Linked DNA regions of Nothobranchius furzeri. The protein of the gene in region 1 purifies or fractionates together with the protein of each later gene. This does not show direct contact. Links are inferred from orthologs where the notes say so. Each region holds a gene or a part of one and is shown in the gene's direction. Other genes may lie near its edges.

What was found.
Region 2: the proteins of kdm8 (region 1) and RCC1 domain-containing protein 1 purify together in Homo sapiens (co-immunoprecipitation; 3 studies listed by BioGRID and IntAct, counting the BioPlex papers as one, with this or other methods). This does not show direct contact. The link is inferred for Nothobranchius furzeri from reciprocal best matches to the Homo sapiens genes KDM8 and RCCD1.

The regions. Positions count from the first base shown.
Region 1 is NC_091745.1:4,851,054-4,856,186, forward strand, and holds the start of kdm8 (lysine-specific demethylase 8), read left to right. Parts: upstream 1-1,662; 5' UTR 1,663-1,793; intron 1,794-2,885; 5' UTR 2,886-2,908; coding exon 2,909-3,358; intron 3,359-3,564; coding exon 3,565-3,600; intron 3,601-4,032; coding exon 4,033-4,205; intron 4,206-4,809; coding exon 4,810-4,942; intron 4,943-5,027; coding exon 5,028-5,093; intron 5,094-5,133. UniProt on the Homo sapiens protein: Bifunctional enzyme that acts both as an endopeptidase and 2-oxoglutarate-dependent monooxygenase.
Region 2 is NC_091744.1:74,255,802-74,261,274, reverse strand, and holds RCC1 domain-containing protein 1, read left to right. Parts: upstream 1-1,774; 5' UTR 1,775-1,861; coding exon 1,862-2,060; intron 2,061-2,131; coding exon 2,132-2,326; intron 2,327-2,407; coding exon 2,408-2,567; intron 2,568-2,641; coding exon 2,642-2,763; intron 2,764-2,837; coding exon 2,838-2,942; intron 2,943-3,222; coding exon 3,223-3,384; intron 3,385-3,461; coding exon 3,462-3,491; intron 3,492-3,855; coding exon 3,856-4,022; 3' UTR 4,023-4,207; downstream 4,208-5,473. Other genes in the region: unc45a (protein unc-45 homolog A), read left to right, coding at 1-13, 87-202, 353-470, 544-699, 797-1,066; calcium and integrin-binding protein 1, read right to left, coding at 4,321-4,342, 4,426-4,514, 4,622-4,740, 4,822-4,975, 5,087-5,186, 5,282-5,316. UniProt on the Homo sapiens protein: Plays a role in transcriptional repression of satellite repeats, possibly by regulating H3K36 methylation levels in centromeric regions together with KDM8.

The DNA.
Region 1 (5,133 bases):
TGCTGTGGGCTGATGGATCACAGTGTACATTACAAATACAGGCAGCGACCTGGCTCTGAGGCTGTCTTACATATTTCTTACAAATCCTCCTGGAACCCCAGCTTGTGTTTGGTATGAATTTCATTCATTTTCCTTCTAGCTAGTTTGGATTTGTAGGATGTCATAAATGTGGAAAAGCACGTGTTGCTTTGGAACATTTAAATAAAACAGAATAGACTTCATAAATCCCACAGTGGGGAAATTCACTCGTTAGACCAGCACATTCATTTGGTAGTTTAAAAGTTCTTTTAAATATTGACACCCCCCGCCCCCAAATAACAGTTTTTACTTATTTTAGATTCCAATCAAGTGTCCTCAAACAATAAAAACAGTTCTAGCACAAGAATCCAATGTTGTCTTTAGGGGCCGGAGTCCTGTGAGGGTGTGCAAAGATTGCCTCTTAATTTGATGTCATTTAGCTGATATTACATGCTGTTTATCTGCATTTCTACTACATTCATGACCAGATTCATTTCCCCATTCCATTAGCAGTTGCAAAAGCATAAAAAAAATCAATCACACAGCTTTTTTCGCCATCACATAGGCATTTCCCACCTTCATGGAAGTAAGTGAACAATAGACTGAGCCACAAGGATTCTGCTGTTTACACAGTCAGAGTGAACAGAGATGCTTGAAACATCTTAAAATCCCCTGTGATTCCAGGAAAGGCAGCACGTCACTCAGCCCCGTCTGCTTTACATACAAGAACAGCTCTGCGCTTTCCACTGAGATTATTTGAATTTCACAGAATGTTTGACATTTGATAATAGTGCTGAGAGTTTAGAGATTCCACACTTCCACTGCTGAAGGTTTTCCTTTCCTGTCGTGTTTGTTCAGGCCAGCTCCCTGCAAAAGAAGAGAGAGAGAGAGAGAGAGAGAGAGAGAGAGAGAGAGAGAGAGAGAGAGAGAGAGAGAGAGAGAGAGAGAGAGAGAGATGAAAAACCCAGAAACCCGAATGTGACATCAAAAAGACAAACCAGATTATTGTTTTAGCTTCATGTGAGCAGACACAAATCAGTAAGCCCTCTAGGGATAGGTGTATTTACACAACATACAATCATGAACAGCAGGAGCTATGAAAGGAGAGAGAGCGAGAGAGAGAGAGAGAGAGAGAGGGGGGGGGGACGGACAATGTCAGTTCTGCCATCATTTATCATGACAAGAGTTTTCTCAACGCAGCACAGGGATCAGACAATCTGGTCCACCTGTTGTTGAAACAGATGTAGATGACTTGACGTGTATTTAAATGAGGCTTTGTTAAACTCATTTTGCTCAGCTTCAACCGGTTTAATAACAGAGAGCTCAGAGGAGAGATGAACGAACTTCTGAGCTGCAACAAGACTAAGATGTGGACAAATGTGAGTGTGTGGGAGTGTGATGTGGGAGAGTGTATAGATAGTAGGAAACTGCCCACACATGAAAAACAAGTGTGTGATTTCAGTTTGTAGCAGTCCAGCTTGGATTTCCACTTACAGTACCCTCTGCTGGACCAGACGGTGAATTAATGCTTTTTCTGTGTCAAAATCAAAGACTTAACATACCATGATCATTGAAACTCTTCGGTTTGTGATAAAACTGGATTTTATGATTAATCATCCCTATTTTTGGAGCCATTTCACAGTTTTGACAACACCTACTAAAAAGTGGAACTGATATTTCCTGCAGCTCCGGTTCCCTTCCGGTGTGTTTTTGTTGTCCCACCGCTAGCTGCAGCCGTGTTAGCGTGGCTAGCGATGTAAATAAAGACAAAACAGGTAAATAGTCGTTTTTACTTTGCTTTTTACTAAACAACTGTTCTGATTTTAAGCTGGGGTTTATTTTAAGGTGCGGCGCCTTCAAAATAAACTAAAGTGGCTTTTTATATTTGCAACATTGTTTAAAAAAAGTATAAATGCATTACAACGTTCACAACGCGTTAGCTGATTGTAAAAAGTTGTTTTACCTTTAAGGAGATTTGAGTTTTTTGAGTAGAAGTTTGGTCACATTAAAAAGTTTTTAATTGATTACGTAATATACTTGTCTTAAAGTCAGGGAGATTTGGCAACAAAAGCCTTTTAAAGAGCTCAAAGCGAATTGTGTCTACATGTCTGCAGTTGTTTAACATTTTGTTTAAAAGATGAAGGTAACTTTTGTTTACCAGAGGAATTTCAGAAATATTTTGTGTAATTTTTAAATGCCAGCTCTATGTTAATGTTTTCCTCTTTTTCTGTTTGGCTCGAGTGTTTCATCTATTGGCATTTCTGTCTCTGGGAACTGCTGCAGGGCTGCACCACCCTTTAGACATGTGATATATTAACTAAAAAAAATCTTAATTTTGGAACAATCTAGCATGCATTTGCGTTCACGTGGTTGGGATTTTCTATTTTCAAAAGAGTCAGGTGCACAAAGTTGGCTGCCTCAAGCCTTGGCAGCACCTCCAGCATCACAGAGCAGCATCCAAACATGGATGGAGTCACACAAAGACAGGGCTGGCACTTCCAGAGAGCGCCGTCATTGTGCATGTGTCACACGACCAGTTCTGGCTCAGGATGTCCTCACCTGTGTCTGCCAGTTTGGAAATTAGGAGCAGACTTCTGTTTTCATGCAGCAGAGAGAGATTTTTCATTAATGAAATAAACAAGAATCCAGTGTATGTGTGTGGTGGTGGGTAGGGATTGCAGATTGGGCCACTGATGAGCCCAGCATGCAGCCAAGCATGCATGTGATTACATTCCAGCCCATACCTCTGAAAAGTGTTGGCTTTAATCCAAGTTAGACTTTCCATACAGTTTAGCTACAACTTTAGCTTAACACTGCATTCTAACATTTTGCGATGCTTTGGCACTTCTTGTTTCTTCATTCTACAGAATACAGGAGGACCTAGTTGTCAATGGAATCCTTGTGGTCAAAACTCTCAGCTGCTCTACCGATTAATGAGGAACAGTTCCCTCTGCAGTTCAGTGACAAAGTGGAGTCGAGTGTGGTGGAAATGCTGACGAGATCCAGACACCAACTGTACAGCACCACAAGAAGCAACAACCAAACTCTTTATGCTCAAGTCGTTTTGGACATTTCATGGGAGAGACTCAACACCGGAACATGGCGTGATGTGGACAAGGACTGGAGGCGACTTTACTCCTATGGCTGCCTGTTTAAAGTGGCCGCTTTATGTCGAGAAAGTCCATCAGAGCACGAGATCCTTCAGGCTGTCAGGACGTGTGACATGGGTTTACTCATGGGCGCGGCCGTCATGGATAATATACTCCAGGTTTTTGTTCGGATTCTGCAAAGTGAAATAAGAAAAACCACTAAAGAAGAAACGGACTATGTTGAAGCCAAGGTCAGCTGGCCAATTTATTTTATCCTTTAAATTAGCAAATGTTCAAGTAAGTTAGAGGAACGTGTTTTATGTGGTGTTGTTGTGAAACTCTTGATTTACATTATAATCAAAAGTTCAAGGCTGATGTTGTGGAATAGACTGTAGAAAAGTTATTTTTTATAAAAAGTATCTCCCTTCTTGCCCTTCATCTGGGTGCACCTCATCAGATGTCACTGAAGATGAAGTGCCACACATTCTCAAAGGTCAGATCACTTTGTTTAGACGGGGGTTGGCTGCTGCTTCTGTTTTTTTTTTTTTTGTTTGTTTTTTTACTTGATTATACATTTTTAGTCTGTGCCCTGAAAATGTCAACCTAAAACTGTTGAAGCATCCAAAGAATCTGTGAGTAATTCTTTACAAAGCAGGGCTGTGATGGCTATTTATCATTTTTCTATACCGGCTGTTTTAATCTGGTCTTTAAAATGTCACAAACATGTTATTAATAACAGTTGTATGTTCATATGTTTCCTTTTTGTTTCGCCAAGTGTCCGTTTGAAACAAATTGAACTTTTATATTTGGTAAAGGAAGTCAACACACCCTCATAAAGACCCTAAAAGTTTAAAACTAGGTCATTTTTATTATTAGACTGAAAATGACCCCCCCCCCCCCCATTTATTTCTGTCGTCATTACCAGAGAATGAAGATTGTGGTCCCACGTGTTCCTCCAATCAAAGAAGAGTTGGCGGTGGAGAGGATTAAGTGTCCTTCTCTGGAAAGCTTCAATACAAAGTACTTGGTTCCTCTCAAGCCGGTGATTTTAGAAGGGATAATCGACCACTGGCCCGCCCTCAACAACCGTCCCTGGAGGTTTGTCTCATCAGAATACATTCTCCTTCAGCTGAATGTTGTTATTCCCTGTTATGTGGCTCGTTAGCATGTTTATTTCTACGTGACAATCACCATGTTCCTTTATAGTCCGCATGTTAAAACACTCGGGAGTAGTAAAGCAAGTTTGACTACAAGAGTCTTACTCTGTCAGAATGAGCTTTTCAGAGTTAACAAAACCCTCCGGCGATGTGGAATATAACAGCCCCACTTCCATTCAGTCCAGCCGTGTAATCAGACTGATCTGCTCTTGTGACAATAGCTAAGTGCACTTTTCCAGCTGAGAGGACAGAAAGCTGGAGGACTCTCAAAGGGACAGCTGACATGTAACATACAGATTTCCAGTTATTGTGGTTTATTTAACGATCTAAGTTTTGGGTTTTTTCCTTCATAGTGATGGCCCAGGTTGATTAGCTCACCCAGACACCCTCGTCTTCTCGTTTTCATTCTTAGTTCTGACTCAAAACTCTTGGGTTCTGTTTCTCATCCAAAAGTGGTCATTTAACATATTTTGGTGCACCACTTAAACCACAATGATCAGTGTGTTTTGGTGGATTGTGTTGGTAATTGTCTCCCTCCTGCAAAGCTTAGAGTATCTGAGGTCGGTGGCGGGCTGTCGGACGGTTCCTGTGGAGGTGGGGTCCAGGTACACGGATGAGGACTGGTCACAAACACTGCTCACCATCAACGAGTTCATCGACAAGTACATTCTAGAAAAAGTCAGCGAACCCTACAGGAGTTTCATTTATTAGTTATATCATATCATCTCTAATGATGAATAATACTGTTAGGGTTATTTTTCAGGTCCAGGATTCTCAGAGTGGAGAGAGAGCCGTGGGTTATCTTGCTCAGCACCAGCTTTTTGATCAGGTACGCCTCTGGCTTTACTTTTTATTGCATGATTCATAAA
Region 2 (5,473 bases), on another chromosome or scaffold:
TCCTGGAGAGAGGGTAGGAATGCTGACAGTACCTCGGACTACGCCAAGTAAACACATTTTTCTTATTTAATCTGCTTTTTTTGTAGATCTATGAGGTCGTGCGCCCACTTGTGAACCTTTTGAGACTGGAGTGCACCATGCTGCAGAACTTCGAAGCACTGATGGCCCTCACCAACCTGGCTGGCATTAGTGAAAGACTCAGGTTGGCCACTAGGGGGCAGTCACTTCATAAAAGCACACCTAAACACAGAGAAATGTTTCTAATTTTATTTAATATTTTCTACTCGTCCCTCATGACGTTAAAATTTACAAAAACAAAACCCACCACTTTAATTTCTTTATTTTGTCTCAGACAGAAGATCATAAAAGAAAAAGCTGTTCCGAAAATTGAAGGCTACATGTTTGAGGAACACGACCTGATCAGAGCGTCTTCTACAGAGTGCATGTGTAATCTAGTTCTGAGTTCAGAGGTAACACTCGTGTTAAATGATAAAATCCATGACTCAGTCTGAGAACGGTGTGAGCCTAAATCTGTGTTTTCAGGTGCAGAAGCTGTACTTAGCCACAGGGAATGATCGGCTGAAGCTGCTGGTGCTTTACAGTGGCGAAGAGAGTGAAAGGCTTCGGAAAGCTGCTGCAGGAACTCTGGCCATGCTGACTGCTGAACAGCCTGAGCTCTGCACCCGCATCCCTGAAACTGTAAGAAAAACTAGACGTTTAATTTACACAAAAACTAAATAATCTGTTCTTTACATTTGTTTTTTTTTTTTTGTTTGTTTGTTTTTTTTCTTCTCAGACAACCCATTGGCTAGAGATTCTGCAGGCTTTGCTGCTCAGTGAAGTTCCTGACCTACGGCATCGTGGAGTGGTCATTGTTCAGAACATGATGCAGGCAGAGAAAAGCCTGGCTGAGACCCTCATGGAGAGCGAAGTTATGGAGATTCTTTCCGTCATCGCAAATGAGGGGACAGTGGATCCTGTCTCCAAGATCGCTCTGGACTGTCTGGATAAAGCTATTGAGTACGGCATCATCCAAAGTAGGGAGGAGAAGGAAAAGGGCAAATGAAGGGCTGCAGTTGTGGGTGTGCCTCTCTGCTGTCTTAAGTGCTTTTAGATTTCATTTGAAAATGGGAGTCATTTCATTTATACCAAAAAATGTGTTTCCTAACTTTTTAAAATCAAAAAGCAGTGAAGCAATAACAAAATTAATATATAACTGTAAAACCATTACACAAATATTGTCAAATGTAGAATTTTTCACTGATTGTGTTTTTGGAGCTGGTTGTAAGGATATAGACCAGCCCTTGCACTTTTTTTTTCTCGTCGACCAATCATTCTATTCCAAACTGAGTTTCTTTAATAAAGAGGACATTCCTAGATGGTTTAAACATTTTTACACAAACATGCTGGCTAATCATTTTATTTCACAACCAGCCGGATGTCATATTTTGCATCGCCATCACTAGTTAGAATATTTGTGCTTGTCATTTTTATAATACATTATTTCAGTTATTACTACTTCACTACATTCTAAGAGATTTAAATGTGTGATTTGTGTGTCTTTCATTAGTGTGCACAGATTGAAAATAAATATTTCTATTGGAATTAACCGTCCTGTCTCATGTCTGTTGCATCCAGGTATGGTTGTGTAAACCAACAAGATGCTGTTAACACATCAGTGGAATATCAATTACACATGGAGGAAAAACTGAAATCATGGATTTCTGCTTTGAACATCCCCCTAAAGAATAACTTACCATTTGCGCATGCGCGCTACTTCCGGGTTCTTCCGCTCTTTGTGTGTTTTGATTCCTGCGTTTCGTCGCTCAGGAGACTTTCTTAGGATTTAAGAACGAATTAAATGAGCTGGTTTGGTTTCGGCTTCAATGCTTTTGGACAAATATGCGTCCAGGAGAAATCTGTTCAAGAGGAAACCAGCGACGCGGTCGGAGAAGTCAAAGTTAGCGTCCCTGTAGAGCTACGGAGTCACGTGGACCACAGCTGCTGCCTGAAGACATGTCAGATCAGGGCGAGCTGGAGTCGAAGAGCATGTCTGCACGGTAGGTTTCTACCTATTTGACAGGAATATGGTCTTTATGCGGATACAAACTAGTGTTTTCTTATTCTTTAGAGAGCAGATGTGTGTGGCTGGCCGGTTTTTCTGCATCCAGCATCTCCAACGATACCAGGGGCTGCAGAGATGCAATCATCAGTGAATCCCACCTCACTCTTGCCTTCCCAGACCGAATTGAATCCTGGGATGTGCAGAGGAAAGATAAAACTCCACTATGGAGCATGGAGATCATCCCCCAGTCAGAGAGCTCTGGTATTTGGATATTTGAGTGTACTGAACATCAGAAAATCACCACAAATATGCTGTTACATGTTTTCTGTCATTTTCATACAGGTGTGAATTTGCCATTGGTACCTGGTGGTTACATAGCTTCCAAGCCTCCCATCTTCCGCTCCTTGGCTCCTCACCTGCAAGCCAAGAGCCTGGCTCTGGGGGGAGATCATGTCATCCTTCTGACTGCCCCTGGAGCTGTCTACAGCTGGGGACTGGGCAGGTGATGCCAACACTGACTTATAATGAAAATCGGAGCCCCATTCTTCTGCATTTATTAATGTGCTCATTTGACAGCCATGGTCAGCTGGGACATGGGGGACTCGTCTCCGAGGAGGAGCCGAGGACAGTAGAGGCTCTGTGGGGCGTGCCTATGAGCTCTGTGGCTGCAGGAGGCTGGCACTCTGTCTGCATCAGCGGTATTAAATAAAAGGGTTACATCAAAGACACGAGTAAAAATAAATAAATGATAGATAGTAACTGTGCTTCTTAGAAGGAGGTGACCTCTATGTGTGGGGCTGGAATGAGAGCGGACAGCTGGGACTTCCGTCACGAGGGCTACAAAAAGCTCCACAGCAGAAAAAGGCTCAACCAACAGGTTTGGCATTAGAAAATTCAAGTGTTAGATTCTAGACTTTTTTTTTTTTTGAGATTGCAAAAAAAAAAAAAAGTTTAAAACAACAGAACCTTACTTAACCTGTGTGTGTGTGTGCGTGTGTATCAATGAAACACTGTAAAGCGCTTTAGAGTCCTCTGACTGAAAGACGCTATACAAGTACAGGCCATTTATCATAATTTGAGGTTAATTATCTAAAATTCTGAGATATATATATATATATATATACATACACATACATATATTGGTTTGTTTTATACAGAACTGTCTGATGTCAGTACGCCAGAAGAGGAGCCACATGATGGAGATAAACACGAAGAAGTATTTATTTCCATCCAAGCATTTCCTGCGCTGCTGGATGTTAATCCATCATCTGACTTCCAAAGAGCCAGCTGTGGTTCCCGGCACACGGCTGCAGTAACAAGTACCTCAGATATAGATTTAAGCTGAAACATTTTCTCAATGAGGGCATCATTAATACAGCATATCTTTCTATTTCAGCCTCAGGCTGTCTGTTCACTTGGGGATGGGGTAAGTTCGATCTCACTAAAGTGTTGAATCTAAATACAATCACAGCCCTCAACAGACACAGAACTTCAATAACCCGCAAATGATTTGATGTGTTTTAGGCATATAGTTGCATCTTTGGTTTTATGGCTTTTAAGCTTATATCTGTGTTTTTAGTTTTTTATGATTTTTTATTGTATTTACTGTTCTATGAAAGTGTGAATGATGAGGTGGATGACGATGAGCCCTCTTAAAGACAAATTTCTGTAACCGCTTGGTGTCAGACAATAAAGTTGTTCTATTCTTACAACAGGATATCAACTCAAATTGAAATTTAATATATTATCAGCAAATATTAAGCTATTCTTTTTCTGTTCTTGTCCCCCAGGAGAATACGGCCAACTTGGACACCAGACATTTAACAGTTTAGACGAACCGCGACGTGTGGAGTTTTTTAAGGCCAAGGACCTGCATGTTGTCGATGTGGTGTGTGGGCCGTGGAACACTTTTACTGCCGCCGTCAAGAAGGGAGTACTTGATCTCAAAAATACCTGACAATCCCCTGAATCTGCCCCCACGTTGGACTTTGGTCGGCGTACAAGGAAGTCTAAATTACATCAGAAAGTTACGCTGTGGAAAATGTTTTGTAATAAATTATTTGTGTCAATGAAGAACTTTAGTAATCTAATACCTTAAACTTTTATTTTAAAGATGTTATAAAATATATATATATATATAAATTTCACAAACAATTCATAAAATCATAAGAGTAAAATCCAGAAGTAAGTAAAATTTAAAGGCAAGTATAGTTTTTCACTAAAAACAAAATTAAAAGTTGGCCATTTCCAAGGCCTCACAGCACAATCTTGAAAGAACTGTGGGGGGAAAAAAACAATTGTGATGATTAGAAAACATTTCCTCAAGATTTATGTGTCAGATATTATTTTGGGAAAACCACCTGACAAAGTCTGGAGATCTTGAAATGACATGCTGAAACTCCGAGAGATTCACCGTCCCATCCTTGTCGATGTCTGACTCTTCAAGGATCTAAACAAAAGCAAGATTCATTTGTGCCCAGATGATGCCTCAGAGCATCTCTTTGGAGTGTGCTTCTTGCATCTTTGAGAGAAAAAAAACAGTCGAAGTGAACTCACATTAGTTATGAGCTGTCTCATTTCCTCAGTGGTTAGACGCGAGTCTTCCGACTCATAAGTCAAGCAGTCAACCAGCTTCTCCAGATCGCCACAGCTGAGGGTCCCATCATTGTCAAAGTCTGAAAATATAAAGCTAATGATCAGACAAGATCAGTGCAGCTAAGAAAAAACTGACCAGCTCGTGTTTTATCAACATTTACCAAATATACGGAAAGCATAGTGGGATTTTATTTCCAACGTAGCCGAGTCACTGAAGGCACTCAAAAAATCCAGGAAATCGTCAAAGCTGAAGCTTCCATCGTTTGGGTTAGTTGTTGAGAAAACCAGGCAGATTCTTTCCTTGAAAGGGTTAGACTAGGACGAGAACAAGTTCAAAGTTCACTTTATTAGATCATCCACTTCCTCTATAAAGATTACACCAATAAATAGAAACGTTGCCACACTTCTACTGAAATTTCCTGTTACCTTCAGCTCAGGCAGCGTGAGAATCTTTGTCATTGGAACTCTGGCATTTGTTGAGTTTTTTTCCTCTTTGGGGAGCAACTCAGTGAATCTCTTATGAGCACTTATTAGGAAAAAACAGGAATAAATCAGACATCTATCCCATGATCTATAAGAATAGTTTACATTTTCTTAGTTGTCATACAACCTGTAACTTACAGAAGAATTTCTTGTTTAGTCAGGAAAGTCAGCTCCTAAAATCAGATGTACTGTAGATGAGTACAAGTCAAAACAAGCCCCTTTCTGATTCAAAGCTATCAGCATTACCAACGTTTAGCTTCTATGCAACAAGCGTCTGCTCTTATCCTGGCTGAAATTCTGACTAATTTCGTATTTATCTCAAAACCTTTG